Lonchura striata: one gene and its partners. The protein of the gene in region 3 binds, or shares a complex with, the protein of the main gene of each other region. Links are inferred from orthologs where the notes say so. Each region holds a gene or a part of one and is shown on either strand. Other genes may lie near its edges. The genes, in order: GNB5, GPR158 and RGS7.

Region 1 (9,818 bases), on a different chromosome or scaffold from region 3:
TAATTCACTCAGGGTTGAATTCCAGGGATGTAGCAGCTGAAGCTCTTGCAGACCATCCCACCCAAATATAACTAGAAAACAGATTACCCCTTTCCCCCTCTTTACTGGGAAATGTTCAGGCCTGCAGGTGGACAGTCAGGTGCTCTGGAGGTGAGACTCCCAGCTGCAGCACTGTGGTGGTGCAGTGAGTACAGGTACTGGCCACGGGCACTGGTGACTCTGCTGTGCCATCCCTCTGGTGCAGATGGAGGAGAAGGGCCAGGACACAGCTCTGAGTGAGCAGGAAGCTGGACATTTGCTGTAAGAGTGCACTACCCAACCTTTCAACATCAAGGGATGGATGGACATTTTTGGGATGTCCCTACTACAAAAGAGGGAAACAGGGCAGGCAAGCAACCTTCCTGAGCAGCATCCTCTGGTGGAGAAGTCAGTTCTTTCACACCTCATTTAACAACAGTACTTTCAGCTGATGTTCTTTAAAACCCAACAAATTTACATTTCTTTTTGTGCAAACTGACTTTGACATAAAATTCATGCAGCTGACACAACTGAAAGGTGTCTCATATAACCCTGATGCCTCAAACTGGGGTCATCTGTAAATGTGTGGGAGAAAATGTCATCTGAGGAAACCTATTTGCACTGCTCCAGTGTGTTCATCCAGGGTGGAGCTGAGTAGGGCCAGGATTTATCTCAGCACCCAGGGGCAGCTCTTCACACACAGGGAGGTTGAGCCTCACTTCAAGTCCCTCAGCAGAGTAGAGATCCTGAGGCTGGAGACTGGCACCAGAGTTAAAATTTACACTGTCTAGAGGAGAGCTGATAGGATTCCAGCCCTTCCTGTGTTGTGTGGCTGCCCACACCAAAACCTAAGATGATCCAGCTGCTGCTGGTTGTGGGATCAATGCCTGGCTCAAACCTTCTGAAATAAAGGGAGAAGCTCACAGGCTTTAATGAGCTGGAAGAGGAAATTTTGAGCTTTTCACTGCCCTGCTGGAGACGGAGTTCACCCCGTGGCAGGTGGTGCTTTGGAGCTGCCTTGCTACTTCACCCTTCATCACTTTTCTGGGGCTGAAGGAAAGCTCACAGGCTGGGAAGGGCTGTGACAGTGACAGAGCCACATCCTGAACTTACAGATCATTTCTTGGCACAGGCTCAGTGAAGCAATTTCTGCCCAAGGCAGAAACTGATTTCTAGTGGATTGCCTCTTCAAGAGTTGTCTTTCAAAGCCACCAGCCCCACAGGCTGTGCCAGAATAATGCTGTCAGCTGAAATCTCTGCTCAATCAGTCTCCCTGAGCCAGGGGACAAGCACTGTCCACCATTCCTCACCATCTGTCCCTAAGTCAGAAGCAAGTTTCTGAGAAAGTACTACATAAACCCACTGAGGAAAAGATACATTACCCCTCCTACTGCCCAGAGAAACCTGCCAAATGATTCCATCAAAAGAGATGAAAACACAGGACAGGAGGTTATCATGGCAGCTGGAAAGAGAATATCTGAAAAAAACAAACCTTTCACAGACACTGGACAAACTGTTCCCATTATGTCAGTGAAGCTGAGATTCTATGAAATTGTCTGGTCTAGCTTCACTGATTCTCTGAGGATGCTTATCTCCAACCACAGCCACAACAATCCTGCTCCTGCCTAGCACAGGTTTGAAAGTCAGATAGTTATTTTTAACCATTCACCAACATTGTTCAAAGATAGTCAAAAATCAGAAAAATATATTAGCTAAAGCCAGTAAACAGCTTGAGTCCCAATAAAGCTGCCTATTTTTCTTAAAAATATTGTTTGGTCTGGACAGGAGGTGTGGAATTGATGGGTCTTGGGTCTTTGATATTTTCAGTGTTGAGTCTAATGGTCTCTCTGGCCTTAAAAATTCATGGATTGCACAAACAGAACAAACTTTTGTCTACACCTAAAATTTTAAGCTCTTGAATCGACTCCTGAAAATTATAACATTGCAAATCAAATGCATATTTGGCATTTCCATTTTCTAAGCACATTTTTGGGAGCTGCTGTTCAGAACCAATTGAACAAATAAGGGCAATCTATTTCAGCCAGCTATTTCTTTTGGGAACCACAGAGGGAAAGTCATGATCCAAGCAAAAAAATGCACAAGATGCAATTTTAGATTAGGGGAAAAAAGCCCAAACCAATCAAGCAAAAATCAGAAATGATGCCTTATTCTGAAACTTACAAACGCTGCAGAAATACTACTTGGAAATAATTTAAGTGTAAAAAAGCTCTGATACAGAATCAATGATATAAAATATCCTAAGGGAGCATTGTTTTACAGCAGCATAACAATTTTGTCTTAGAAATGCTGTAATGGCTTTGCAAACACAGCTTTCCAATGGAAATTAACAGATTTTATATATGATAAAGAATATCCCATGACTATCAATGGCACACAAAGTTACAGTACCACTGTAATCATAGGTAAAATTTTGTGAGCAAACATAGGTTTAAGAATATTCTTAAGAGGTCTGTTAACCAAAGACCCTGCCACTTCTGATACAGAAATGGTACTATAGGAATATGGTCATTTATGGTAATGTTTCTGTAATGAGGATGTTTCTGTTTAACTATTTTGATTAACAGGACATTAATATAACATAATTGTCTAACTTAGACAAGAAAATGTTCTGTTTATTGCAGAATATATTTATTTTATTGCAATCCTTCCCAACCTGAAAATCAAGTGTTTTTCATTCTTACAAAACACTAAGAACTAAGCCACTGGATAGAAGCTCGGATACCTTTTCAGTGCTTAAAGCATCCAAACACATGAAAGAAAAGTTTTAATGACCCACTAATATTTCTAATAGAGTGAGCTACATGATTTCAGAGAGAAACAGTAACTTACATGTTTTTCTAAAAAAACAAAACCAGAAAAAAAAAAAAACCAAACCCGAACAACCCTGCAATGTATCATTGTAATTATAGAATGAAATCATGAAAATAGACGGATTTTTTGTATCTCAGAACTTGTGAACGCCTATTTGAAAAGCTCCATTAAGGTAAGGTGAGCTTCTTTCCTGAAGGGGGAAGGGGACAGGGGGAGGCCCGGGCTGAGGTCTGTCCATCGCAACTCCGGTGGGTTGTCCCTGGATCCTGAAGCTGCAGCTGATAACGGAGATTTCCACACTGACAGCTCCAGCACTGACTCACCCGCACCTCGCAATCAGCACTGCATCCCTGCACCTTGTGTCCCTGGCAGAAGGGGGGCAGAGGAGCTGGGTTTGGAAACAACGCTCCTTTTAAAGCCCTTCCACACCTCGGGTGAAACCCCGGCCTCAGTAAAGCGAATTCCCATTAACTTCCACCCGGCTGGGGCTCACCCCGGCCGCTGACACTGCCCCCGAGCGCTGCGGGCCAATGCCGGGCGGTACCGAGGGGATTTCAGGCTCCCCGCCCGGCTCCCAGCCCCGCCGGCCCGGGCCGGAGCTCCGTGGGGCCGGGGATGCTGCGGGGCCGTGCCCGGCCCGAGGCCTGCCCCGCACCCGGGAGCCGCGGGCTCGGCGGGGCCCGCCCGGCCCGGGGCACGGCGGGCTCATCCCGGCCCGGGGCAGGCTGGGCTCATCCCGGCCCGGGGCACGGCTGGGCTCATCCCGGCCCGGGGCAGGCTGGGCTCATCCCGGCCCGGGGCACGGCTGGGCTCATCCCGGCCCGGGGCAGGCTGGGCTCCGCCCGGCCCGGGGCAGGCTGGGCTCATCCCGGCCCGGGGCAGGCTGGGCTCATCCCGGCCCGGGGCAGGCTGGGCTCAGCCCGGCCCGGGGCCCGCCCTGTCCGCCGCAGGGCCCGGGGCAGCGCCGCCGCTCCCGGCCCGGCCCCGGCCCGGCCCCGCCGCCCTTGCCCGGCCCCACTCACGCTCCACGTCGTGCAGCTTGGCCCGCTCCTCCTCCAGCTTGCCCTTCAGGCTCTCGGCCTCGCTCTTCAGCGACGCCAGGGTCTCGTTCTCGTGCAGCCCCTCGGTTGCCATCTTTGCAAAGGAAGCGGGGAGAGCGGGGATGAGAGCGGCAGGGAGGAGGAGTTTGCCAGCCCGGCTCTCGGGGATGCTGCGGCGGCTCCTGCTGCCTCAGCAACGGCGCCGGAGCCGGCCCGGGCTCCCCTCCCCTCCCCGCTGACGTCCAGGCCAGTCCTGAGCACGCACACCGTGGGGACCGGCATCCCCGCTGCTGCCGGCTGCAGCATCCCCGGCGCTGCCGGCTGCAGCATCCCCGGTCCTGCCGGCTGCAGCATCCCCGGTCCTGCCGGCTGCAGCATCCCCGGTCCTGCCGGCTGCAGCATCCCCGCTGCTGCCGGCTGCAGCATTCCCGGTCATGCCGGCTGCAGCATCCCCGCTGCTGCCGGCTGCAGCATCCCCGGTCCTGCCGGCTGCAGCATCCCCGGCGCTGCCGGCTGCAGCATCCCCGGTCCTGCCGGCTGCAGCATCCCCGGCGCTGCCGGCTGCAGCATCCCCGGTCCTGCCGGCTGCAGCATCCCCGGCGCTGCCGGCTGCAGCATCCCCGGCGCTGCCGGCTGCAGCATCCCCGGCGCTGCCGGCTGCAGCATCCCCTGATCCAGTATCCCCGTGGTCTCCAGGCCGGCAACTGGGACCAGTCTCACCTCCTGCCTCGTTCCTAAACATATCCCAGACCCTCTTCAAAGCCCAGAGGTTTCATTTCCCCAGAAACACATGTTGTTGGATTTTTCTGCTGCATGCCTAAACTTGTCTGTACAAGTTGCACAATATGGGGAAAAGAAGGGGGGAAAAAAGCCATCGGTCACCCCAATGGCATTTTAAAACATGAGACTGGGAAGACATATCTTGTCCAGAGTTAACAAGTCCCATCTTAGCTCCATCACTCCCTGATACTCCTATGGGTAGGGGGTACTGGGAGAATCAGCAATGCAGGTCTCTGGTCGTGGGCCAGCAGGACAGATGCAGTAGTGAAAACTCTTCTCTCTACTATGCTTTGAATTCCTTATTTTTAAAATCGGTGTTATCAGGGTTCCTTTCCTTTTTGTTTCTTCCCTTTAGACAAGCTACCCCTTGTATATTCTACTCTTAGATGTGCACATTAGGGTCTGTCGTGTTCCCATCTCTTGAAACAGAGCAGTTTCCAAAATCCCAAAGATGTAATAACTAGACCCCCACTTTAGTGTGGTGTGAGCCCAGGGGCTGAGCTGTTTGGGTTCTGCTCATATGAATGTGTGCTGGGCACAGGGAGCAGCTGATGCTTCCAGAGAAAGACCCATGGCACATAGCTTTTTGTTCCCTGGGAGTTCCTTGAAAAATGTTCCCTTTTTATTACAGAATTGTCCTTGATCTACAGGGAGTAACTCTGTGCAAATTAACTGCCATTATCTCCCTTTAGCCAGAAAATAGACAATCCAGTGGCTATTGTTCAACCTGGGGATGTGCCAAGATTGGAGAGGGAGATAAGAAAATGTTTGCAGCTGTTGTTTGGCCTCTGGGCCCATCCTGGACAAAGTGTGGGTCTCAGAGAAAATAGAAGTCCCTTCCCACACTGGGTTTAGAAGCAGCGTTGCTGTCCAGCTGGGATGCACAGGCAGAGCTGCTGAGCTCTTCACCATCACTTTGGAGCTGAACTCAGGCCCCGGTCTGGCCATGTCCACAAGGTCCCTTTTAGTCAATGGCTCTGCAGGCAGAGCCCGAATGCAATCAAGTGTGAATCAAATGCAGTGGCTCTGTTTCCAGTCTTCTCACTGTCCACAGAATCTGGTGAGATCTAACTCAACCAGCCTGATGGCCATGTAGGCAACCCTGAACTCATCGATCCAGTTTGTGTTCAGAATCACAAAAGAAAATGCAGGCAGTATAAGTTCACAAACTGCTGGATAAAGGAACATCCTTCCAAGCCCCCAAGAGTAACCAGCACATCAGAAATACTTCCCATGACAGACTATGCCAAAGAAATAAAAACAATATTTTTTAAGTGATACCAAAAGAACAGAAAAAAAGCCCAAAGATCTTTTAGCAGGAATGTGACAGAAAGCTTCTTCCAATGAATTATCTTCAGGTCTGAAAAATTAAAACTACTTATATTAAACTCAATAATGAAGCTGTGTCTTGGGGGACTAACAGAAGTAGATTCTGAAGAAGAAACTTCATTTTTGAAGGATTCTAGTCTATAACAAATGCCTTATCTCTGTCACCTGATAAGTGCAGAGAGGCCCAGAAGTTAAACCCAACAAAAACAGCATGTAGGAAATTTCTTTGCCTTGATAGGAATGCATCAGCTCTCAGGGATTTGGCATAGATAACACCTATGTGTCAGACAGTTGGCATAGTTCTAAGAGTGAAAAATTCAGTTTCTTGTACTGATGTGAACAGTCTCACTGTCTTGTGGAATGGGATTTAAAAGTCTACAAAGAACAGCACAGAAGGTGAGAGTCTTTGGGAACCCACATGTGCAGGCTGATAGGTGATACTAATCCTGAGATTATGGGGTCAGCAGAGCCAGGAGGTGATAGGGAAGCCTTTCCTGAACACACTGAGCTGTAGAAGTGTGTGATACATAATGTGTATTTCATTGGTTTGGAAAAAAAATTTAAAAGTATTTAATTCATCTGACCAACTCCTGCTTAACTGCCCATGTCATCATTAGCTAACCTTGCAAAAATACAGGCAAGGCCAATTGGGTGCTTTCAATAAAATGAACCAGCGCTGAATTAATTTAGATGATAGAGCAGCACTACATCAACGAGTGCCACACATGGCAAATACACCAGATTGCAGTGATGAGTGATGGGGATCCATGGAAGAAGGTTGGTCCTGCTCTGGTAATAGTAACACTGGGGAAAATAAAGGATCTAGCAGTATAAAACAAATTGTTGCCTACCTCAAAAGTCAGGCCTTTAAAATAAAGTTTCCTTTCTCACTAATTCACCAGCTGATCTCTTTTCAAGTTGTAAGCTAATTTTGTGGTGAAACTAAAGCAGCAAACATTGAGTTTCTAATGATTAGCGCCAAACTCCAAAGCAAGCAAAACCCTAGAGGAAGAAGATTATTTTGTCTATAAGGCAAACAATTGAAGTAAGATGATGTCAACACTGGGAATCAGCAACTTCTAATTCTGTTATCCCTGGACATATGTTGTTTTTGGGGAAATCACCAAGACTGGCTGATGAAAATGCATGTGTACATCTGCTGGACTGAAATTAGGAGTTGCATGGGCACATTAGGGAGCTGCAGGAAGATCAGCCAGTTAGGCACCACAATATGTACATGCATCCACAAACACAACTGTGGCAAAGTATATATTGTGCATTTTGATATAAGCCAAAGCATACACACAGCTCTGAAAAAAACGATTTAAAATCAAGGATGGAATTTCCCCACTGTGTGTATGTGCAAAGAGCTCTCTGTGTTCTGAATATCTGCTTTTAAACCTTTTAGAAACTATGAAGCAAGCTAAAGCCAGATCTACCAGCAAGCCCCAGACCCCTCTGCAGTGCCAACAGGAAGCCTAACAAGCTGTTAGGTACTGATGGAATTCCTCCTGAAGTCTCATTCTGCTTCCACCTGCCAGCTGTTCCAGCTGCTAGAAGTCTGACATCCATACTGCCAATAACAGGGAGAAAGTTGCAGGAACTGTAAATAACAAACAGCCAGTTTCCTGCAATTCCAGCAGGTATTTATCAAGCCTTGCAAAAATTTACTGAATAAATAGCCAAGAAGGCTGTTGGCCAAGAAGGACCTGAACAAAGCAGCAATTTCAGTCAGGAGAAGCAAATAATCTGGGAATGGACTGCCTTTTGTCTTGCAGTCATTACATCTAAACTTCCTTCTAAACAAAGCAATGCATGGGAATGTGCTGTGTCAGGCAGTAAACTGTACACATGTACCACCTACACCTCCAAATCAGTGCTCTCATCTCCCTGTACAGCAGTGCCATGTAAACACAGCTTGATAAGCCTTTCAGCATTTCTGCAGAGATCATTTCATCTGACACTCAAATACAACAAACTGTTGGACTCTACGGTAGAGAACACTTCTGGGGAGGAAACAGTGATGGATGTCATCTCCAACTGATAATGCACAATGGTTAAGGGAGATAAAATAAAACTATTGCAAGCTGGGCAGCAAAATTCTGAAGTTTACAAAAGGGGTTTAGGAGGCCAGCTCTTCCATAGCCACATAGGTTCATGACCTTAGCTGTTTATTTCACCTAAAAAAACCCCACCATGATGTCTCTGGAGCAGAGCTCCCTACCAGGAGAGTGGGATATCACCTCACCACTAATTGCTGAAACTTAGAAAGCCTCCAACAGAAGACATACCACTGCTCTGCAACTTTTCCCCATCTTTCCATTGTAGCAACTTCCAGCTCTCACCCAGGTACTGCAGATAGCCCAGGAGACACCCTGGTCACAGTAGGAAATGAGGGCACAAAGGAGTTGTGACAGCCCTTCACTGGTGTCTGAGACAGACAGGGTGAATGTATCTCCTGTCTAGTGAATGGCTTTGTTGTGATGATTTAATCTTTTTGTTGTTGTTATTGATAAGTCCTTTCAAAGGCAAGTGGGAAACCCAAGATCATAGGCCAAGCAGAGCACACATGTATCTCAGGGAAGAGATGGGCACATAACATTTACACAGCAATGTGGTACCCTGGGGTAAAAAGCTCCTGGCCAATTTCCAATCAAGAATCACAAAACTAATCCTTGAACCCTGGGGCCACCTTGCTTTGTGGAAACACCAGGTGTCTGCAGAGGTGTTTGTTTGGCAGTCTGTGGGCTAGCAATGCTTATTTGCTCTCCAGAAAAATCCAACTTCAGCGAGCGCTGCTGCACTGCCGCGTTTGCGCAGGACGTACCATCTCCACGCAGAGCGAGCAGTAGCTGCGCTGCTCTGATTTCACAGACACGGGCCTGAGCGGCTTCTCTTTGCTGCACTTGTCGCAGGGACCAAACACAATTGCTAAAAAGGTCTGGTCCATCTTGGTGCCTCACGGGAGCTGCAAGAGAAGGAGGAGGAGAGCATTCATTCCAGCCCAGCACAAAGCTTCCCACCGCTGCTGCGCCAGCTAAGGAGCCTAGGCTGTATATAGGCATCTGTAGGCTGCATAATCTCCCTCTGTGACTAATCTCCTGTCACTGTATACGTGACAGTCACATGCTCTGCAGAGTCTTTTTTATGAAGAAAAACATGTAGCAAAACATACACACCATTATAATATGTGCTGTGCATATGGATTCACTACATGTGGGAAAGTATTTTTAATTTGTACTTAGCCACTGCCAGCAGACAATAACCTGAAATCCACAGCAACAGCTGGACTTCTGAGAAACCTGCACCGATCAATACATTTTATTTTTTCACTGCATTATAAAATAGTCATTATTATGCATTATCTTTAAAGCTGAAAATATGACCTAATATTTGGTCAGCAGCAGCTACAAAATATTATGGCCAATATGCTGTTTGGGTCATTACAAATCCACTTTTGTTCTCAAGCCAGGCATCTCTAAGATCAAAGCTCTATCACCAACAGAGTATTAAAAACCACTTCAGAGTCAGACAAACAAATGAGAATAATATTGCAGTGTCATTTTTGTCTGTACATTTTTCATAGGGAAAACGGGACCTTTCACTTCTTCTAAAAATGGAAGTTTTAAACAATATTTAGACTTGCACATAAAAAATGAATTTGTGGTAAACAATCAGAAGTAGTTATTCCAAGAGAGATTTAAATGGAACAAAGGAAATTCAATGACCTATGACATATTAGAATTTATCTTGCTGGACATTATAAAAAAATCAAACCATACTTTACTTTGTGTACTTGTCTCCATTCTGCTGTTTATT
Region 2 (9,194 bases), on a different chromosome or scaffold from region 3:
GGCAGCAGCAACCACCATCTAAACCCCACACTGCTACATTTAACCACATTCCCTCCTTGGCCTTCACTTGGGGCAGTTGGGCAGTAATCTCTTGGGAAGGGGGGAGGAGAAATTGAAGACACTGAGCTGTCTGCAAGAGCCCCCTCAGGCCAAAAGCACTGTAACTCTTCACAATGCTAAGAAGAAAGCTTGCTGCTTTGTGCTGCACTTTCAGAATGCCATTGACAACAGCACTGCTGTAGCAGCATGCACTGAACACAGCCAGTAGTAGTTACCAGTACTGCCCTCATTAAACTCTTCCCATTGCTACGCCACATGAACAAACCCATCTGTTGCTGTCACAGAAGAGATACCAAGAATGGGCTTTTCCTTCTGTAATGTGAAAGAACTCTCATGAATAGAGCATGTTCCTTAATGAATCTCACCCTAATGTACCATGCATTAAATCTAATGTGAGCAAAGAAAGTACAAAAACTGACAGAATAATAATAAGGAGGCATACACTAAATTAACATTAATGATATCACACCAGACTACTAAATGGGAGGAGCATGGTAACCGATTCATTAAAATGTTTCTAACAGATGGTTCAAAGATACATTTTGGGGAGAAGCAGCATAGCTACTTCAAAAGATGGAGGTTAACAAACTGTTTTTTCATATGGGCCTTAAATAAGAATTTAAATTCAAAATATTGTTTCACTCAAAGACTGATGGTGAGAGGAAGCTCACTTCAAGAGGCATCTTCTAGTAATTCACACACTAATTTTCCAATAACTAGATGTTACACTTTTCAATTCATGTTTCCACATGCTTTAAACCATTTTTTCTCTTAAAAATTCGCATTGAGGCTGTGTACCTATTAAGTATTAAAAACACTGTGTAAATATTGAGACAAACTACAAGTCTTGGAAGCATATTTTGTGCATACCATTTTCTGTGTAGCTGAGAAGCTACTTTCTCAATATCCCAAGTAATAACCTTATATTTAAGCCCATCTTTTATCTAGCATACCTCAAATCAGGAGCACAGGAACTATCGTTGGCAGAATGTGTAAGTATTTATAATTTTATTTCTTCTGTTTATTTAATAGTCTGGCAAAAAACATAATCCGTTTTTTAGAAATGCTTACAAACTTATCTCTGTTGATACAACAAATCTTTGTTGGTTTTGTCCTAATTATTCAGTATAACAGCAATACAACACTTTGAACTTGCACAACATGCTCCATCTCACTATCTTCTAAATAAGAAGTGGTTCTCCAAGCTTAGATGATCTCAGTGAATGCCCCTTGAAGTGTCAGTGTTATAACAAGTTATTCTAGTATTTCTTGAATGGAAGTGACCCCCGCGTGGCAAGCAGAGGCTGGGAAGATGAGGCAGGGAAGGCAGTGCTCTGCACTACATCCAGGAGAACATCTACTGGTTGCCGTGGGTGGCCAGGGTTACGCCAAAACAGACCTGGTGTGTTCTGCACCCCAAAGCTAGCACAGCAGAAACCTACACCACTGAGATGCTTCCTGGCATCACAGAATCCTAGCACAGAGCTGGGATTGGAGCTTTAGACTCTTTTCCTTAAAACGTGTGTTTATTTCCCCTTCAATTAAGTCAAGATTGAAGCTTCTTTGAGTTAAACTTGGTATCAAAATTTATATTCTCAGAGAGATGGTTTATGGCTGCCACCACACCTCCAGCCTAGTGGTTCTGCCAAACTTTATCCCCAACAAGAGAATATTAGCCTACATTAACTTTCATCCACATCCCGAGCTTCATCAAATGTTGAACATTGCATTTCAATGATCTCTGACAAGCTTCCTGACTTCTCTGGACTCCCTAGGGTCCAGAAGAGCTCTACAGTAGACCTATTCCTGGGTTTTAGTCTCGAGAGGAATTCAGCAACAAACAGCCTACAGCTGAGATCATTTTACCTTAACCCTATCATCCCCATAAGTGTGAAAATTTCAGGGCAAAAATTAATTCAACAGAGAAATAAGCAGCCATTATCCATTCAACAAATTTTGAATTTTTTCAAGGATTTATGACTGTACTCATATCTGTTTGATTGCACTGGATTTCAGACTAAGCCAAGAGAAACAGCATTCACAGACACTATTGCCTTGCTACTACCTAGGTGTGGCAAAATCTCTTTGGTGTCTGCTACATTCTTATCAATCTTTACCTACTAATATAATTCATAGCACAAAAGAAGTCTTCTGCTTCTCTCTCATCCTGAGAAATGCCAGCTGCTTCTGGGCAGTGCGCATTCCCCACTGGACAGAGTTACCTGTGAACCCCTTGCAGGAATGCCAGGGGAAAAAGTGGCATCTCACACTTCACAGGTTGCTCTCATTCTTTGAGCAAACCTCTTTGGTGTCAAGATACAAAGACACAAGAAAGGGCCTCTTTCTATCTTCATTTCTGTTAGCTGCAGTGCACTGGCAAAGTATATAAAAGCAAAAAAAGTATATAAAGCAATAAAAATTAAGCAAACCTTTACATATGCCAGGTATCAAATATAAAGCTGGTGGTGCAAAAGGAAAGCTCCCCTACTGCCACTTCAGGTTATAGCCCCATGAACTATGACAGAACGGCAGTCACCAGCACTGATTTACCTACAAGTGTACTACCACTGACCGGGCTCGAGCACCCCACAGTGGATGTGCTCTGGAGACCAGAAGCAGCAGTTTATCAGCACAACAATGTTATTTCCCAGCAGGTTAAAAGCATAGCTGGGGACCAGCTAGGTTCAATTTTGCAGTAGAGTAAAAAATAACAATTCAGAGAGTTGTTTCCTCTTGCTGACACAGATGAACTTCAACTGGCAACTGCTGCTCACCTCTCCCCACAAGCACACCAGGAATGTAACCCACATGCACGGCTGCTCCGATGGGAGCAGGTAAAGCAAACGCTGTGTTACAGACGGAGATGACTGTGATTCTTCTAAGGAGCCACAGCTCCCGAAGGCACGAAGGTACAGCTCAACAGGAAGGCCTGAGGTTGCTCTGCGGTGTGACTGAGCAGCCCATGAGGCAGGGCTTGATCAGGTCACCCAGAGACCAGAATGCCCTTCCCTAGGAGGGGGCAGAACCAAATGTCCATCCTGTTTCCCCCCTCCCTTTCTCAACAGAAAGGAAGCAGAACACTCCTCTTACCTGAACTCGGGCAGGAGGTTTGGCCGCAGCCCATAAAAAGCCGCCGAGAGGGTCACTAGCCAGCCAGGTTTGTAATTCCCATTCTCGCACTCCAGGTATGGCGAGGACCACCTGATGTGGTTCTTATCAGCAGTGAAGCTCTCCCGCCTCTTCCAACTGTTTTCCAAAGTTTTGGGGCCCGTATTTAAGACCTTCCTGTGCAGATGCGGCCTCCACTTGCGCTTCAAGCCGTGGAACCACTCTGTCTCCACAGTAGCGTTGGCCAGGCGGTGAGCCGTGGAGGACAAGTCCTGCAGGAGGACCTGGTTCTCGTGCCTGCTGGCCTGGAGGAAAACCTGGGGAGTGGAGGAGAAAGGCTCCGTGCTGAGAGTGATAGCGGCCCTGGAGATGTTGGGGTCCTCCTCCAGCAGGCTCCTGATCAAGGCGCGGTACCACTCCAGGTCCTCCTGCAAGTTCTGCTCCCGCGACTTATTGCTCTGGAGGATCATGTTGAGTAAGTTGGTGGCGTGGGTGAGGGTGCCCAGGGCACCGTGCAGGGAGGGGTGAGAGGTGAAGCGCGACTTGCCGGCGAGGCTGGCCAGCTCGTACCGCCCGGAGCAGTTGGCTCGCCGCAACTCCCGGGAGTCGCCCGTGTAGAGGAACGAGGCCACGTCCTGGGGCACCTCCTCGGCGAGCCGCTGCGCCAAGATGGTGCTCTCTGTAGAGCGGCTCCGCGGGGCCGGCAGAGGCTCCCGGCTCTTGATGTGGTTGTAAATAGGCTGCTTCCCTCCGAGCGCCCGCTCCCGGCGGCGCACTGCCTGCCCTCGGTCGGCGGCAGCCCCCAGCCCGCGCTGGGCGAGGAGCAAGAGAAGAAGGAGCCGGAGCAAAGCCATGTCCCCCGGTGCTGCCGGTCGCGCCGGCACGGCGAGGCGGCTGAAGACGGGCTGCGCGCAGGCGGCCGCGGCGCAGGGGTGCGAACGCGCAGAGGCGGCCGAGCGGCAGCGGGGCGGAACGCGACCCCCGGCCCGCGAGTCACCTGTGGCGGTGCCGCCCGCAGCCTCCCCAGCGCGGGGCTCCGCACAGCCCCACCGCCGGCGCGGAGCGGCGCGCAGCCCCTCCGGCGACAGCAGAGCCGAGCCCTCCTGCGCCTCCTCCCGCCGCGGCCACCGCGCTCACTGAGCTCCTGCCCGGCGCAGCGCGCAGGGGCGGCGGCGCCCGCGCCCGGCGCAGCGGCGGGTCCCCCCGCGGCGCCCCGCCGCCGCCCGCGCTCCGCCGCTCCGCATCCTTCGGGCGCCGCTGCCGGAGAGGAGGGCCCGTGGCGCGGGACTGCCACTTGCTGCGGGGATCGGCGGGCGGGGCCGCTGCTGGGGAGCAGTCAGCGGACAGGCACCCGCCTCCGCTCGGCTCTGCGAGAGAGAACGCCCGGCCGTGGGAGGACGGATGGTCACCGGGCGGCTCCGCCGCGGGTAACCCCACACCGCGCGGCGCTCCTCGCCACCGGCCCTTATAGGTGTACGCCAGGCAGCGGCCGCCCTATGTGGCCGCCTCGCCTGTCAGTCAGCCGGCAGCCACTCACGGGGCAGGAGGACGGCGCCGTGCGGTGCCGGGGGAGGCGGTGCTGCTGCCGCGGAGCGGCGTCGAGGCACCTGGCTTCACCTGCAGCCGGCTCAGCTGGGGACGGAGGCGGGGCGGGCGCCCGTCCCGGTGGGAGCCGCTCCGCTTTCCCGGGGCTCGGGAGTCGCGGGCGGGAATCCGCGGGGGCTCCGCCGGCCCGGGGGGCTCCCGCGGCGCGTGGCAGCGACACCTGGTGGCGGGCCTGGGGCGGCGCCGCTGCGCCTCCGCGCCGGGGGCGGGCGGCGGGACCGCGGGAGCGGCCGCGGGGCGAGCGCAGGAGCGGGGGGTCAAGATGCCCAAAATCCCCCTCTCCGTGCCTCCTCCGCCGCTCCGGGATCAGGAGAAGCCCGGCGCTGCGGGGGAAGGCAGTTCCAGCCAGATCCGCAGCGTGGGCTGATGCCTGTCAGGGCTGCGTGCCCTGTGGGGAAGGCGCTCCCGCTTCCAGCGTTTCCAGGGTGGGTGGAGGGGGCGCAGGCTGATCCTCGGCTGCCCCCGGGACGCGTGGGGCCTGCCGGGCTGCCCGGGAGGGAGGCGTTTGGCGAAGGGAACGACGTTTGTGTGGGAAAGGGCAAAGGCGCCTTCGGGATCTCCGGGCCCGCCGCCCGCGGGCGCCTCGCCTGCCGCTGCACGGAGAGCATCCCGCCGGAGCGGGCGCTGAGCACCTTCCCTCGCCCTGCAGCTCCGCTGCCTGGCTGGCTGTATTTCTGTAACCGTGGGCTTTTTCTCCCCTTAGTGTTTTAACTCCAAGGTGCTAATTCCTACAGCTGTTTTCAGAACTAAATCCTTAATCCAGTGGCTTTTAACACTGACCTTCAGAGCACCTGTGTGGAGCCGAAGCAGCACAGGCTGATCGCTCAGCTTTCCTCCTGCTCTGTGGAAACCCCCTTGGAATAATACAAATGCTTATCTGGATTTTCCAGATAAGGCATCATGATTACTAATGAGGATCTGGTTTAATAAAACATTTCAACATGTGTTTAACTTTGTGCATTTTCTTATGCAGAATTATGCACATGCTCATTATCTTACTAATGGATGAGGGATTTGTGACAGGAGACAGCAAAGGGTGAGTTTTGGAGGAGGTGGTCCATGGCAAAATCTCCTAACTACATTCCATTCCCATTTAATATAAAATTCCATTTTGGAATTCAAAAGTGCAGATGAAAAGAGTAGTAAAAGACAACCATTTTTTTTTTCTTTTCTCCCCCACACGCATGTGCATGCACATCCTAGGAGCAGATTTCAGTTATGCAGAATATATGATCTAATTTTAAACCACTGACAAGTTATATCTGTTTCTTAAAGCATAATCTTATTTTAGAATTATTTGAAATGACACTTGATGGCATAGTCACTCCAAGATAGCTAGATGTAAATTACATTTGCAGTCCATAGATCCCAGTGATGCTGTGAACTTTGTCTTTACCTATGGAAACCTTTAATAATTATAATATTGTTGGTTAAGAGAGAAATTTAGAAATTCTTTTTGTCTCTTGCTGCATGCAGTTGAAGAGGATATTCAACACGTAAGAACAATGTACTTGTACTGAACTTTCCCTCAAGTGAATAGTTTGTGAGATTTAGAAACTGCTTATGCTGAGAAGCTCAGAAGCTGGTATTTACAGTTTAGCACAGCACAGGGAGTCTGTATTTCCAAGTCTGCTCTGAGCAAATACCTAAAGATGCATCATTTGCTGTGGATAAGGGAGAACTAGGGCTTTTGACAGCAGCAGTTCTCAGGACTGAGCTAAACTAACGTAGGATCTGTTACATGGAGAGATATCACTGGCATAATAAATGACACATTTTTTAATGTTGTGCCTAGGCTAATTCTCTTTATTGACAGACAAGAGCTGCTGTAAAGGAAAGGCTGGTTCCCTGTTGAAAATTCATTTTCCCTACTTTAGCCTGACTATCAATACCTGTTGGAATTGCACTAGGCCTGCTCAATGGCCACATTCTCAGGATAATCCAATGGCCACATTCACACATTCTCAGGATAATCGACTCTCCCCTCCATGCACTTGCATGGTAAGTCCCTTGTGTTTCCTAATCACCTCATGGTCCTTCCACATACCCTTCTACAGTGGCACCCACCAATCCCCCTGCTCCTTGTCCTTCACTAGCTATGCCAGGAGCAAAGTCCCAAAAGGGTTAGTGCACATCTCCCAGATGCTGGAAGTCTCCCTTAATCTCAAGCATTAGAAGCCTCTCTTTTTGCTGTCCTATCAGTCTGCTCTGGGTGTTTGGTCTCTATGCTGGCACTTTTGAGTCAGAGGGAGAGGATGAGGTTTATTGAGGACTTTCTCATTCAAGGTGCCAGGAGCATGGCTGAGTCTTGTACAGTTGTATCACACAGGGTTCAAAGATGCCTCCTTTATCCTTAGGGCTTCCTTCTGCAATCAGTTCAGAGCTGATCCCAAACAGCTACTGTGTACAGCCAGGTCCAAAATGAGACACAAACTGATTTTAAGCCATTGCAAATGTGCATCTTCTTACAGCTTTCTAAACACTATGCCATGGGACCCAGATCCATGGGAATTGGTAATATGGAAATATAGTATCCTCCTAGATTAAGGAAATCTACCAAATATTTTATTTACATAAGTTTACTAAGTGTGGCAGCAACTCTCTCTGACCACAGAGAGCAGGCACAGATTTTCCCAGGCATTTTCCCAGGGAAGGCTGTGAGAAGATCAGAGCAAAAAATGAGAAACCATTCATATCTCACTTACTGCTGCTTGTTGTTGCGCACATGTAGAATATATTTTAGAGATTTGTTTACCAAAAAGTGATTTCTTAATTACTGTTTAGATTAATTGACCAATTAGGTCAAAACTAGATCAGACTGGCTGTAAAAGTTACTGAGTTTCCTAATAAGTATAGTATAATATAGTGTAAAATTATATATTAAAACAACCAGCCTTCTACAATCATGGAGCCAATGTTAATTATTACTCAGCTAGGGGCCTACTGTAACAACTAAGGACTGTAGAAACATGTGATCATTGTATTTTTTATTTTAATATTAAAATGCATTAGTATTTCTGGACTGTTATATGTAATCAGTTGATTATGTCAGAAATCTGTTCAGCTGTGACCAAGACAATGTGAAAATGGACTGGGAGTCCCCTGAGACACAAGATTACTCTGACTAAATAATGTTTCCTATGCTTCTGCCTCAATTCTGTCAGAAGTGCTCCATCAAGCCATCCACTGCAAGGAATGAGGAGGCATCTGACCACTGTCCTGCATATTTCTGTTTTTACAACCCTTGCAATTGCTTCACTCATTGTACATGCAGCATCTCAATTCACTGTATTGCCTATCAGGACTGAAGTCAGCTCTACATTAATCTAATTACAGTGTAGAAAGAACAATAGTGCAAAATATTAGATGTTATTAACAAACTAGAGTAAGTGTAGCTTACTTTCTTCAAATATGGTCTATGCAAAAAGATCATGGTTTATCTGAACTATTTGAAATGCTAAAATCATCACATTTACTGCATTGGGAGCAAGGAAAGACTGTTGTAGCTGTGAAATATATTTAAAGACTCATTTATTAGTCTTTGTCCTAAACTATTTAGGAGATATACAGAGAATACACACAAGAGTAAGTACCAAAACTTTTAAAATTGTGTTGTATTTCTCTCACAAAACAGAGACAACATGTTGATAAAAATTGCTGCTTCTGGTAATTAAAAATACATGAAAAGTAAAGTATTCCTAAAAGTACATCTACTTTTAGCTTGAGTACTTAAACAAATAACATTCTAGCAGCAATATTTTTTGTCTGCCTGCCAGTGACTTCTGATACCTTTAATTAATTTCAGGTAAGTTTCACAGAGATCTACAAGCTTCTACGAATGTCATGAAACTCACAGCTGGATCAAAGAAAGCAACCCATGTTCATTTGCATGAACCAGGTGTGGGGTGAGGGGACCACATAATATACTCCAAGTCTTCTTTACTTTGTTTCTTTGCCTTCTTATCACAGCACAATCACCATAAACTAGTATTTGTCTACAAAAGACCACTTTGCCTTATTCCTTTTTTTCTTTGTCTGGGCTAAGTTAATCAAATTTCATAACAGGCTATGTTTTGCTTTCCAAAATTGTTGTTGGCCCTACTGTTCTCTTCTTAACTATCCATTCTGTTAGCCTGCTTCTCTAGGCATCCCAGACAAGGCCTCCCATTATCAAGCATAACCTCCAGAACAAGTAAAATTCTCTGTTAATATACCCCATGTTGAGGTCTGCCTGCTTTTTCACCTTCATCACAGTATTGACCACTACTCAAGTCTGTAATGATGAGTAATACTCATAACCTTTCAAAACATATTGCTTCCCAGTTACCTATTATCTATTTTTATTTGAGGATTTGAGCTCTGCTAACTCTGGGTAGTTTTTTTTTGTACTTGTTTTTACCAAAGTGATTTTAGGCAACCTC
Region 3 (9,928 bases):
CAGCAACACAATAGCCATTAAACTTGCAAATCAGAACTCCTAATAGTTGCAGCATATGTTTGACTGAAAAAGTAAGCAAAGTAGAAAGATAAAGAAAGGTTTAGCAAGATCAGCAGTAGGTCTAAAATAGAAGTTCCCATACAGAAAATTATTTATCTTTTAATTGTATGCAGAGTTTTAAAATAAAGAAGAAAAAAAATAAAGAAAAAAAAAAAAACAGGCTGGTCAGACTCTGAAACTTAGAAGAACTTCAACTACACTACTACATGTCAAGTTTCTTCCCTAAGACGTAGCTTGCAGCAGCAAGTTAGTGCTGCCAAAATATGAGATTTCTGCATGAGCAATTTGTGATGTTAAAATACTATGGACTTCAGACTCTTATCTCTTTTAATTGCTGACTGGAATGGACTCTGTCAGAGAAGAAATGAAAGGAGGGGTTTTACATTTTTCATATTTGCCTCAGGCTACCAGAAGAAAAATTCAGGACTTTTTCTAAGGTATGTCAGTGCCAATGATGTGTCACATGTCATTACTTTATAACTAGGCTGATAGACAAAAAGGATAATGTAGCTGACATTCTATTAAAATAAAAATTATTCCCCAAGGCATAAAAACACTGACACAAGCATCTTAAAAGGCATAGTAAAAATTATATAGGGAACTATTTATCTGTGCTGCTATCTTTTCCTGATTCAAATAAGTTATTTTTAGTTATGTGTGTATTGAATATTGAATTATACTATGCTGATTTTTTTAAAAAAATCTTTTTTGAAAAGAAATGAAATTAAATGTAATGAAACCATTGTTCAGCTAGGAATAAAAACTACTATTAGAATAAGACACTATCTACACTCTATATTACTTGAGATTACAATATGATTATCAATTGTTCAACTCTTCAAATAAGCAACTAAACAAGAACCAAATACATTTTAAAAAATAGAAAGCTGGCCATTTTCTTTTGTCAAGAGTTTGAAGCAATTAAGTCTTAAAAACCAAATTTGAAAACACTAGGACTTCATTCTGTATAAAATTTTTTATAAAACGCTCCTGACAGAATCAAGATTTAGGCAATAGAGGGCTGTAACTCCATGTAGTTCAGAATATATTTAGTTCAGATTGTGTCTGGAAGTTAGACAGACTGGAAGAATTACCAGATTACAAAACTGTGGTATATAGCCAAAATAACAGCCTTCACAGCACAGCCAAATTTCAACTCTCCATTAACGTAAGTAAGAGATGTCCCAGTACAGACATCACAAAATGTGTGCTTTTCCATCTGTTGATGTATAAACAACTGGAAGAAAGCATTTCCACCTTTGTGCATTTCAGCAACATTATTCAAAATACCAGACTTCAAATCCAGTTCAGACTGAACTCAGCCAGCAGCATGTTTATATTTTTTTCTAAAAACTGTTAATACATTTCCAGTTGGCCAAAAAATAGAGTCCTTCATGAAACTGTCAGAACTAGTTCTTTGTTCATACAGTGCTTTCATTCCCAACACAGAGACAAGTATTGTGTTTTCAAATGTATTACAAGAAATTCTGTGATTTAGTTGTTCCTGCTAAAGAATTATACTCAGAGATTATAATGATAAAGTGACATGATTTCCACTTGACAAATTTCCTTTTATGTTCCAGATCCAAAATTGAGAACATGCTTGCTTACACCAATATTCTATTTCAAGAAAACGCAGACGACTTCTTGAAAAGTTATCTATTGTTTTGTTGCTTCTTTGTTGAGTACTGCCAAACGAATGGCTACTTAGTTTTCTCTCTGTAATCTAACACAGTGTACATAATCCGAAATTATGTTTAATTCACTCTGCTAGAAAAATAAGTAGGCAAAAAAAAAAAAAAAAGAGCCCAAATAGGGCAGGTAATGCTGTAGAAGGTCAGTATTTTTCAAAGTTTAATACTCAGAGCACAACTTGTGCTCTTAGTGACTTAGTGACAAGGACAATAAGTTGTCCTTTTAGTAACAACTGCTGCACTGAAGGACACAAATTCATATCATCCCTTTACCGATGTATCGCAGAGAACAAAAAGGTGTTTGATGTCTTGGTTTGCTGAGGTGGCATGTCCTATTCCCATTCCTCATTTTCAAATCTCTTGTGCATCACCAGGACTCTTGTTACTTGCCTCAGCTGTTCCATTCAATGTGGATGCTGCTCAGAGGTGAAGTTGCCCAGAGCCATGATAAATTTTGGCATGAAGTCATATTAAACACCAGAGGTCACAAATTTTACCAAACCCACCAAAGGAAGAGAGAAATAGTTTCTCTGTGCTGTCCCTCTGAGTCCTAAATAAGCTGAGAAAAGACCTTTTTGCCAGCATTGAAGTAAATGAAAAATGTGGAAAGAATCTGTTTAGAAAGATCAAAAGTCGATAATGAACAATATAAGAGCTGGTATATTGCTTTTCATATGTGCAGCATATTTTCATGTATGCAGTTGCCTTTTGAAACACACTTGTGTTAATCACAAGGTAATCCTGTCTTTTTCTAGATGTGCATTAGTAGAAGGATAACTACAGTTAGATCCATACATTCATTCAGTTATGTAAAAGGAGCCTAATTTCACAAAATAGCCGATACAACAAACTAAATGAAATCAGCAACATATCTGAAAACAGGAAGAGAAAAAAGCATGCATCAGACTTCAATTTGAGACTATTTTTTACTTTCTGGGAAAAGAACACTTACCACAGTTAGTGTTTATACTTCAGTTCACCTCAAAGACTAAACTGATTATATATCAGATGTTTTCTATTACAGTTAACTTGTAAGAGGAAAAGTCAATGCCTCTAACAAAGTAAAGTATTGATTTTTTTTCACCTGGTAAAAATAACCACAAACAACTTAAGAAGCACTGTGTTCTAAGATTAAACAAGCAGTTGTATAATTACTTATTTCAGTTTGCAACAGGAAAATTATTTTTTCTCCATTATTATTAAAATTTATTTTATTTTTTTTTCATAGATACAATTAAGGCTTTTTTAAAAATATGCAATGCATAAAGGCATTTCAAAATCTCCAAGCATTTACTCTCATTTAAATTAATGCATAATTACTGAATAAGCCTCACTATTAGAGTTCAATACCTGGAAATTTAGTGTATTGATGTTCTAAGAATAACCACACTAGAAGTCTTCCCAGAGAAAAATTCTAAAGTGTATGTTTTTCAGGGCTTTTTGACTTGTGGCAACCACAGATAAGTGAGATCTTTAATCAGTTTTCCCCCTCATATGAAATAATTTAATGGTTCAGACTTCTCTGCACAAGCCAGAAATACTGTATTGTACAGTTAATATTTAGCTTTAATACATATGAAATCATTTTACAAATAAACTTTAAAAGTGAACATTTGACCTCAAAACATGGTCCAGTCTCTGGCATGTCACACCATCAAATATTGTATGTATCAATGCAGAAAGTGACTGAAATACATCAAGTATCTCAAATTGAAAAGCAGCTGCTTCTGAACAAGATGCAAAGTTGACATGTGAAGATTTTACCATTACAAACCATTCAACAGATAAAGTCATTTCTCTATTCAATAAATTGGAGAGAAACAGCAAAAATAATGGCTTCACTTGCTAGGCAAAGAAGTCCAGGGCTTCACCTTCCTCGGCTTTTGAAAAATACAAAGGCTTACCTTTCTGTACACCAGCATGTTTGGGGACTCATCAGCCACCCCATTGCTGCTTTGCCCATAATTATTTCCTTGTGCCATGTCCCACAGATTTGATCCGCTTTTGGATGTTGCACTGTAAAAGGTAAAAGTGATTTCAATAGGGCATCACCTCAGGTCTCCTTACTTCCCCGATGATTAATGGACCTGCCTTGCTACCAACATGTTATCAAAATCAGTGTATGCGCTCACTCCAATAGATATTTACATGGGAGCGAAGCTGCTAATTCGCCATTTACTGTCATTACTCCCTTTTGCTGGTAAATTATGGAGGTAACGTGTTGATCTAATTTAAACGTTAATGAATTGTCACGGGGAACAGCTCCCTGACACACCGCTCACCACCACATCACACAGACGCCTCCTCACAGAGGGCTTCCTCCTCCGCTGCACGGGCTTCACCAAGGGACGCTCTGCACCTCCCAGGCCAGTTTTGGGAGGACTGACTCGGCCCGTGACGTGCATTCAGCAGTGCCCTCCGCTCGCAGCTCGGGTCCTAGCAACTTCCACAACATTCAAACGCACGAAAAGCGAACCAGACGCTTTGAAGCTCCCTGTAATTCTCCAGCACATCTGTGCTCGTACATACGCGGGGGCAGGGGAGCAGGTGACGAGGGAAAAGGAAGAAATAAGCCAGAACACTGTTCCGGTTGCTTTCACCTACTTTCATCGCACTTTACCGCCAAACACCGGCTCCCTGCCAGCCCCGTCTCCTCCCCGCCCTCCCCCGGGTCACACGGGAGCTGCACCAAGCAAGAGCTCGGATCATGCCGTAGCTCCGGCTTTGCACGCAGGTGTAAGAATGTGCTCCATCTACAGACCGCGCCGGCGGATGCGGAGAGCCCGGAGAGCCGCCGAGCCCCACTCCAAGCACTAACCTCCCGAGCCCTCCCCAGCCCCCCAGACGCCTGGCGTTCGGGCTTGGCTGCCCCTCGTCCGCCCGCTGGCCCGCGCTGCCCCCGCAGCGCCCGGGCGAGCGGCTCCGGGCGGCCAAAGGCCGGTCGGACCGGCTCTCCCGCGGGCACCCGGCGCGGCGCCCGCGGCTCCAGCACCGCGGACAGCGGCGGCGCCGCCCGCGGGGCCCGGCGGCAGCGCGGCCTCGGCTCCGGCGCGGGCAGGGGCGCGGAGGGGCGCGGAGCCCGCCCGCTCGGTTACCTCCTGGGCCAAGGTCACTGCGCGCTGGCCGCGGCTCCTCGGCTGCTCCTGCTGCTCCTGGCGCGCCCCGCGCGGTGGGTGTCAGCCGGCAGCGGGCGGAGGGACGCGGCGATCGCTCATCACACACACGCACACACACGCACTGCGGGCGGAGGCGCTGCCGCCGCTGCCGCCGCCGAGGCTGCGGCTCTCCCGTGCTCTGCCGGAGCGGCGGCAGCTCAGCTCCCTCCCCGCAATGGAGCGGCCGTCACGTGGGGGACGGGCACGTCAAAGGTGCTGCCGCTGCCGCCGCTCCGCCACACAGCAGCAGCCTTCCTCCTCCTCCTCCTCCTCCTCCTTCCTTCTCCTCCTCTTCCTCAGTGCTCCAGGCTCCCTCACCGAAAACAGCGGCCAAGAAACTGCAGCTGCCAGCAGATCTGGCAGAAGCCTCTGTAAATGAGATTAGGCATCACCGGTGGGCTGGGCAGGAAGAGAATGTGGGCTAATGGGATAGGGAAGGAAAAGGGTAGTTGTTGGGGAAACTGTGTCATCTCCTTCATATTTCCCTACCGACAGCAGCAGGGAATCTGCCTCTTCCTCTGTCTTATGCTGGACACCTCATGTATATTTTTCAGGGAAAACTAAGGAGAGCCTGTGCTCTGTTGGCACTGCAGACTTCACTGAGCAGTGGAACAGAGAGAGCAGAGAGTGAACCTGTTCCAGGCAGACAGGAAGAAACCCTGAGGACACCTCAAGACACCCTCGGGACTGTTTTGCCATGTCCTAGGCAACTGCCTAATTTGTGAAGGCCTCACATTAGCTTCGGTAGAAGAAAAAGATCAGGTCTCTCAATTTTACTTTCCCAACACATGCAGACAAGAATGCTTTTGCAAGGGGGTTGAAATGCCCAGAACTCAACATCCACAAGAACACAAAGTACTTAAGTGGTTACGCTTTGGTATATTTCGATTTAAAATTGTCTTTTCTGAAAACAGTAGCTCTTATTACAAGAATGATCTTGCAAAAGAATCCTCTACTGTGCACTGCACCTTGTGGAGTGTGTGCTTGTAAATCATGCAATTCAAGCAGAGGTTTCTATGCATACTGGGTCACCTTCACTCTTACTTATTCTACCTTTCTCACATCTCAGAGAGCCTCAAACCGACGCTATCCTGCAAGAAGTTTGTCATTATAATCTGCTGCAACTAATTTTAACTACTCTTCCAAACTTTGCAGATGCCTTTAGATACTTTAGCAGAGGATGTGGTAAGCTAGCTCAGGCATTGATAGGGAGTCACAGTGGCAACAACAAAATGAAGGACAAAGGACAGAACCAATTGGACTTCTTGGAGAACTGAGGAAAAGAAGACATAAGTCTGATAATGGTCCTAGAGTGAACATCAGAGTAAAGACAGATGATCTCCATCACAAATAGGAATGTTTTTAAGAGACAGAAGTTATAAAAGGTGAAATGACACAATAAGAACCATCAACTCTGTTCAGTGAGATACACTGGTTGCAAAGAAAAGCAGACAGACATTGTGTGTCTCAATTTCGATAGAGGAGAATAATTTATCATGTCACAAGGAAAAGAAAATGTGAAAACAAATAGTGCTAGAAAAGAGAGAACTCTGGAGTTTTGAGGTGGAAGAGAACATGGGAAAGAATTCAACAGCACAACATAATGTGAAGTATCAATGTTGAAAGTACTTGGCAGAGGAATTCATTAAACCAAAGATTAAACAGAGAACTAATACCTGTTTCCCAGTAAAATTCACTTTACATACAATAGCATCTCAGTGAGGCTAATAAAGTCAGGATCAAAATATTAATCTTCCAACAGATTCTCTGATTCAGCTCAGCCCACTGTTGGCAAATGGGAACCAGGAATAAAGATCTCAGTCTATTTTCAAACAGACATCCCAGGCAAGCAGCACTGCAGTGTTCAGAGCTCAGTGCTTTGACTTTGTAAGTCTGACAGGTGCACTAGAAGACAAGGGAAATGCCTCCAAGATCTGCTAAAAATGCAAGTGACACCCTTATGGTTGTATGGCATAAAAATAAAATCTTATTTATCAAACTGGTGTTTAAATTTATTTTTCAGAGTAAAAATGGGAACTGCACAAAATATAATTCAAATATAATTTTACCCTTAAAGAGGGATAGGAGGAAAATCTTTAAAAATATTGATAAGACATATTATTTTCATTTGTTCTGCCAGCCACTAAACATAGTAATTGTGTTAAAGAGCATAAAAATCAAACATTAGCAAGTTTCCAATGAGAGCAAATATTTATTTTCTTACTCTGCCTCATTTTGTTGTTAATGTAAGGGACAAAACAATCTACATAAAATGAAACCATTTTGGACTACAATTCCTGGACTACCTGCATGAAGTTACTTAAAAGCTGACTTCAAACTACCTACTTTTCTATAAAGTATTCTGCAAATAGATTTTGGTAGCAGTTCTGTGTCTTTGGAAAGCTCCCCAGCAAAGCTGACTAATTCAGGCAGCAACATTTTCCAAGTTTTTATTTTCTGAGAATGTCCTTAAAACTAAGGGCAGAAGTATACCAAACTGAGTTAGATTTTGGCTGTGCTGCCTCCAATTTTGCCTTTGCTTTTATTTTGTTTTAACAATTCTGATTATTTTACAAGTACAGTAAAATATAATATCCTATATCAATAGGCAATGTTTATATATTTTCTTTGAAAATAATCAAATTTTAATAACATAAATGCAGTTCTAAAGCAGACCAATTACTTGGGCCCATGGAAGTTAATAGGTATTTCTCCAGTAACATCAAAAGGAACTATATTCCATAGTTTTTAATCTTGTCCTCAGAGCCAGAGGAATACCTTAAACATTTCAGTCATGTATCTCACAATTAAAGACCTGCAACACTGAAGCACATTAAATTTTTTTCACCAGCATGTCCACTGCCTAAATGAAGTAGAACTCTAAACCCTAATGGGGTTAAACAGAAAACTAGAAACAAACCAACAGAATTTGCTTTTTGCCATCACTTTGTGGTGATGGTGAAAGAACTGGGCTGGACTACTTTCAAAAATGCAAATAGAAAGAAGATCATTTATTTAAAATATATGTAACCAGATAGTCTCATTCTATTGTACTTGGGTGTGTTTGTTCGATAGGCTATAAAAAGCTTTAATTCATAAATTACACATCTTTCCCATCTTGGAAGTCATCACTTATCTCATATACAACCAGCATTAGCCTCCCCAGAAAGCATGGTCTGCCAGAAGAGGAAAGGCCTTTTCAAAATGCAAGGCAAATCTACTCATTAATAAAACAAAGATGATGAGGAAAGGCTGCCAAGGGGCAGCTTTATCTAACAAGGCAATAAAATACACATGATTGAGCAAGGTGGTGACTACATTTTCTGTGTTTAGCTTTCATTGTCAGTACAACTCAAGTATTCCAATAACATCACACACGTGGCAATTTTAAGTAAAAAATATTACGTCAGGATGTGTACAACAATCTATCTGGATATGACCAGAAATTTTGCTGTCTGTCCGGCTGGCCAATGCTGTAGCATTATGTCAGTATGCCGCCTATATCCATCAATTTATCTTCTCTTATGCCTAGACTAAATGTCCCTTGGAGTAAAGATATGCTGTGCAAGCTCTTAGCACAGCATGATCTTGTTCTATGGCCAAGTTTTTAACACTTCAGAGCATTATAAACAACCACATTCAAATTTACTAAAATAATGTAAACATGCTAACTGAACTCCAAACACTGAGTGAGTTAATACTGTGCTACCTTAAATTATAAAACCCAGATTTTTTTTTTTTATTTCACTAGCCAGCTAAGCACAGAGAGAACCTGCCTACTTTAATCAAATTCATATATTTGTGACCCTACCAAACCACAAGTGTTTCACTGCCAAGCTCTGAGCAGGTACCTAGTGATTCCAGGCCCAGCCTTTGGCCTTTTTGATGAGATCTGAACACCTGCTCCTTCAGGAGTGAATTGCAATCAATCTGTTTAATGTACGTCTTCAAATGTCATCATGATGATTACAGGTCACAGTATGTATTTTCTAGAACTGAACCAGGACTCACAGAAACTTCACCACTTTCTTCATTTTTTTACACCCTAGGAATCTGGTTTGTCACCTACCTTACAACCCTAGTGAAATATTAATTATCTTTGTCAATTTATGACACTGACAAAAAAGAATATTAGTATTCTGTCAGTTAGGGAAGGAGTTAAAAAACACAAAAAGATATTTTTATAACATAAGAGAAGGAGATAACCAAAAAGAAATCTGGATTTAGCAAAAAGAAATCTGATCTGATAGGAAAAAATGAGTCGTGGACAGACATAATTTCACAGGAATGCAAAATTATTAGAAATAAGGAAAAAACATATTTCCATAATCTTTTTTTTTTAAGTATGAGATAGATAGATAGATAGATAGATAGATAGATAGATAGATAGATAGATAGATAGACAGACAGACAGATATACACACACCCCCACAGAGAACACAGTACACTTTGCATATATTTGAAACCTTAAAGCAACAAATTTTATCCCTTACTGTTAATTGTAACAGAAAGTCCACAGCTACATAAAATTTTGTATCAATATAGTGGCCCACCAAAGCTATTCATGGAAAGCCAACAGCTTCTCCCGACAAAGCAGAACAACCCCAAGCAGTTCCACTGCAGCCCTGACAATTTATCCAGTAGTAATTTCACCCAGAAGAGGGCAGGCTTTCTCAGGCAAAGAGAGAGAAGCTAGGATAGCTGGCTGACACACTACTAGGAATTTTTTCCCCTCCTAAAAGAGTTAGCACAACCGGTTATACACCATAATTTCATCAAAAAGTGAGAGTGTTTACAGAAATGAAACACCACACCACGTTCCTTTAAAACTGCCTGGAAGACCTGTGATTAATAAGCTGTGATCTTACATTAAGTTACAAGCTGGAGAAATCAATCAAACATGGAGGGATAGAACAAACCTGCAGGGAAGAAAAAAAAATAAAAATATGGAGGTTTCAGTCTAATTTGGATCTAACAGCCTTAATTCAAGCACAGTTTTGAATCCTGGTCTCCTAACTT

What was found.
Region 1: the proteins of RGS7 (region 3) and GNB5 are in contact, whole or in part, in a cryo-EM structure (PDB 7EWP), measured with the Homo sapiens proteins. The link is inferred for Lonchura striata from reciprocal best matches to the Homo sapiens genes RGS7 and GNB5. Residues at the interface, in NP_001351815.1 of Homo sapiens: Pro19, Leu22, Val23, Lys26, Val30, Ile72, Val76, Glu77, His80, Leu81, Leu84, His88, Val207, Asp213, Ile214, Lys215, Lys216, Leu258, Gln261, Ile262, Trp265, Gln266, Gln268, Leu269, Arg271, His272, Arg273, Leu274, Lys275, Met276; in NP_057278.2 of Homo sapiens: Leu57, Glu60, Ala61, Glu62, Leu64, Lys65, Leu68, Glu71, Lys74, Leu75, His76, Asp77, Val78, Glu79, Leu80, Val83, Leu90, Phe93, Arg98, Arg99, Leu109, Lys117, Arg118, Ser134, Phe135, Trp149, Met151, Leu167, Tyr197, Ser206.
Region 2: the proteins of RGS7 (region 3) and GPR158 are in contact, whole or in part, in a cryo-EM structure (PDB 7SHF), measured with the Homo sapiens proteins. The link is inferred for Lonchura striata from reciprocal best matches to the Homo sapiens genes RGS7 and GPR158. Residues at the interface, in NP_001351815.1 of Homo sapiens: Gln35, Ile43, Ser55, Arg109, Phe110, Thr112, Pro113, Tyr114, Phe115, Lys134, Thr136, Lys140, Ala141, Arg142, Leu143, Leu145, Ala146, Asp147, Ala150, Leu153, Gln157, Trp164, Phe168, Met169, Gln170, Glu172, Ala173, Gln174, Lys176, Val177; in NP_065803.2 of Homo sapiens: Leu507, Lys508, Phe510, Leu511, Arg513, Thr514, Tyr595, Tyr598, Ala599, Thr602, Val603, Pro604, Ile714, Arg715, Leu718, Lys719, Tyr722, Leu725, Glu726, Tyr728, Lys729, Arg730, Met733, Ile734, Thr735, Asn736, Asn737.

Annotation. Positions count from the first base shown.
Region 1 is NC_134613.1:12,597,835-12,607,652, reverse strand, and holds the start of GNB5 (guanine nucleotide-binding protein subunit beta-5), read right to left. Parts: upstream 4,104-9,818; 5' UTR 3,985-4,103; coding exon 3,873-3,984; intron 1-3,872. UniProt on the Homo sapiens protein: Enhances GTPase-activating protein (GAP) activity of regulator of G protein signaling (RGS) proteins, such as RGS7 and RGS9, hence involved in the termination of the signaling initiated by the G protein coupled receptors (GPCRs) by accelerating the GTP hydrolysis on the G-alpha subunits, thereby promoting their inactivation.
Region 2 is NC_134603.1:139,910,279-139,919,472, reverse strand, and holds the start of GPR158 (metabotropic glycine receptor), read right to left. Parts: upstream 4,115-9,194; 5' UTR 4,023-4,114; coding exon 3,151-4,022; intron 1-3,150. UniProt on the Homo sapiens protein: Metabotropic receptor for glycine that controls synapse formation and function in the brain. Acts as an atypical G-protein coupled receptor that recruits and regulates the RGS7-GNB5 complex instead of activating G proteins.
Region 3 is NC_134605.1:47,577,613-47,587,540, forward strand, and holds the start of RGS7 (regulator of G-protein signaling 7), read right to left. Parts: upstream 3,767-9,928; 5' UTR 3,737-3,766; coding exon 3,659-3,736; intron 1-3,658. UniProt on the Homo sapiens protein: GTPase activator component of the RGS7-GNB5 complex that regulates G protein-coupled receptor signaling cascades.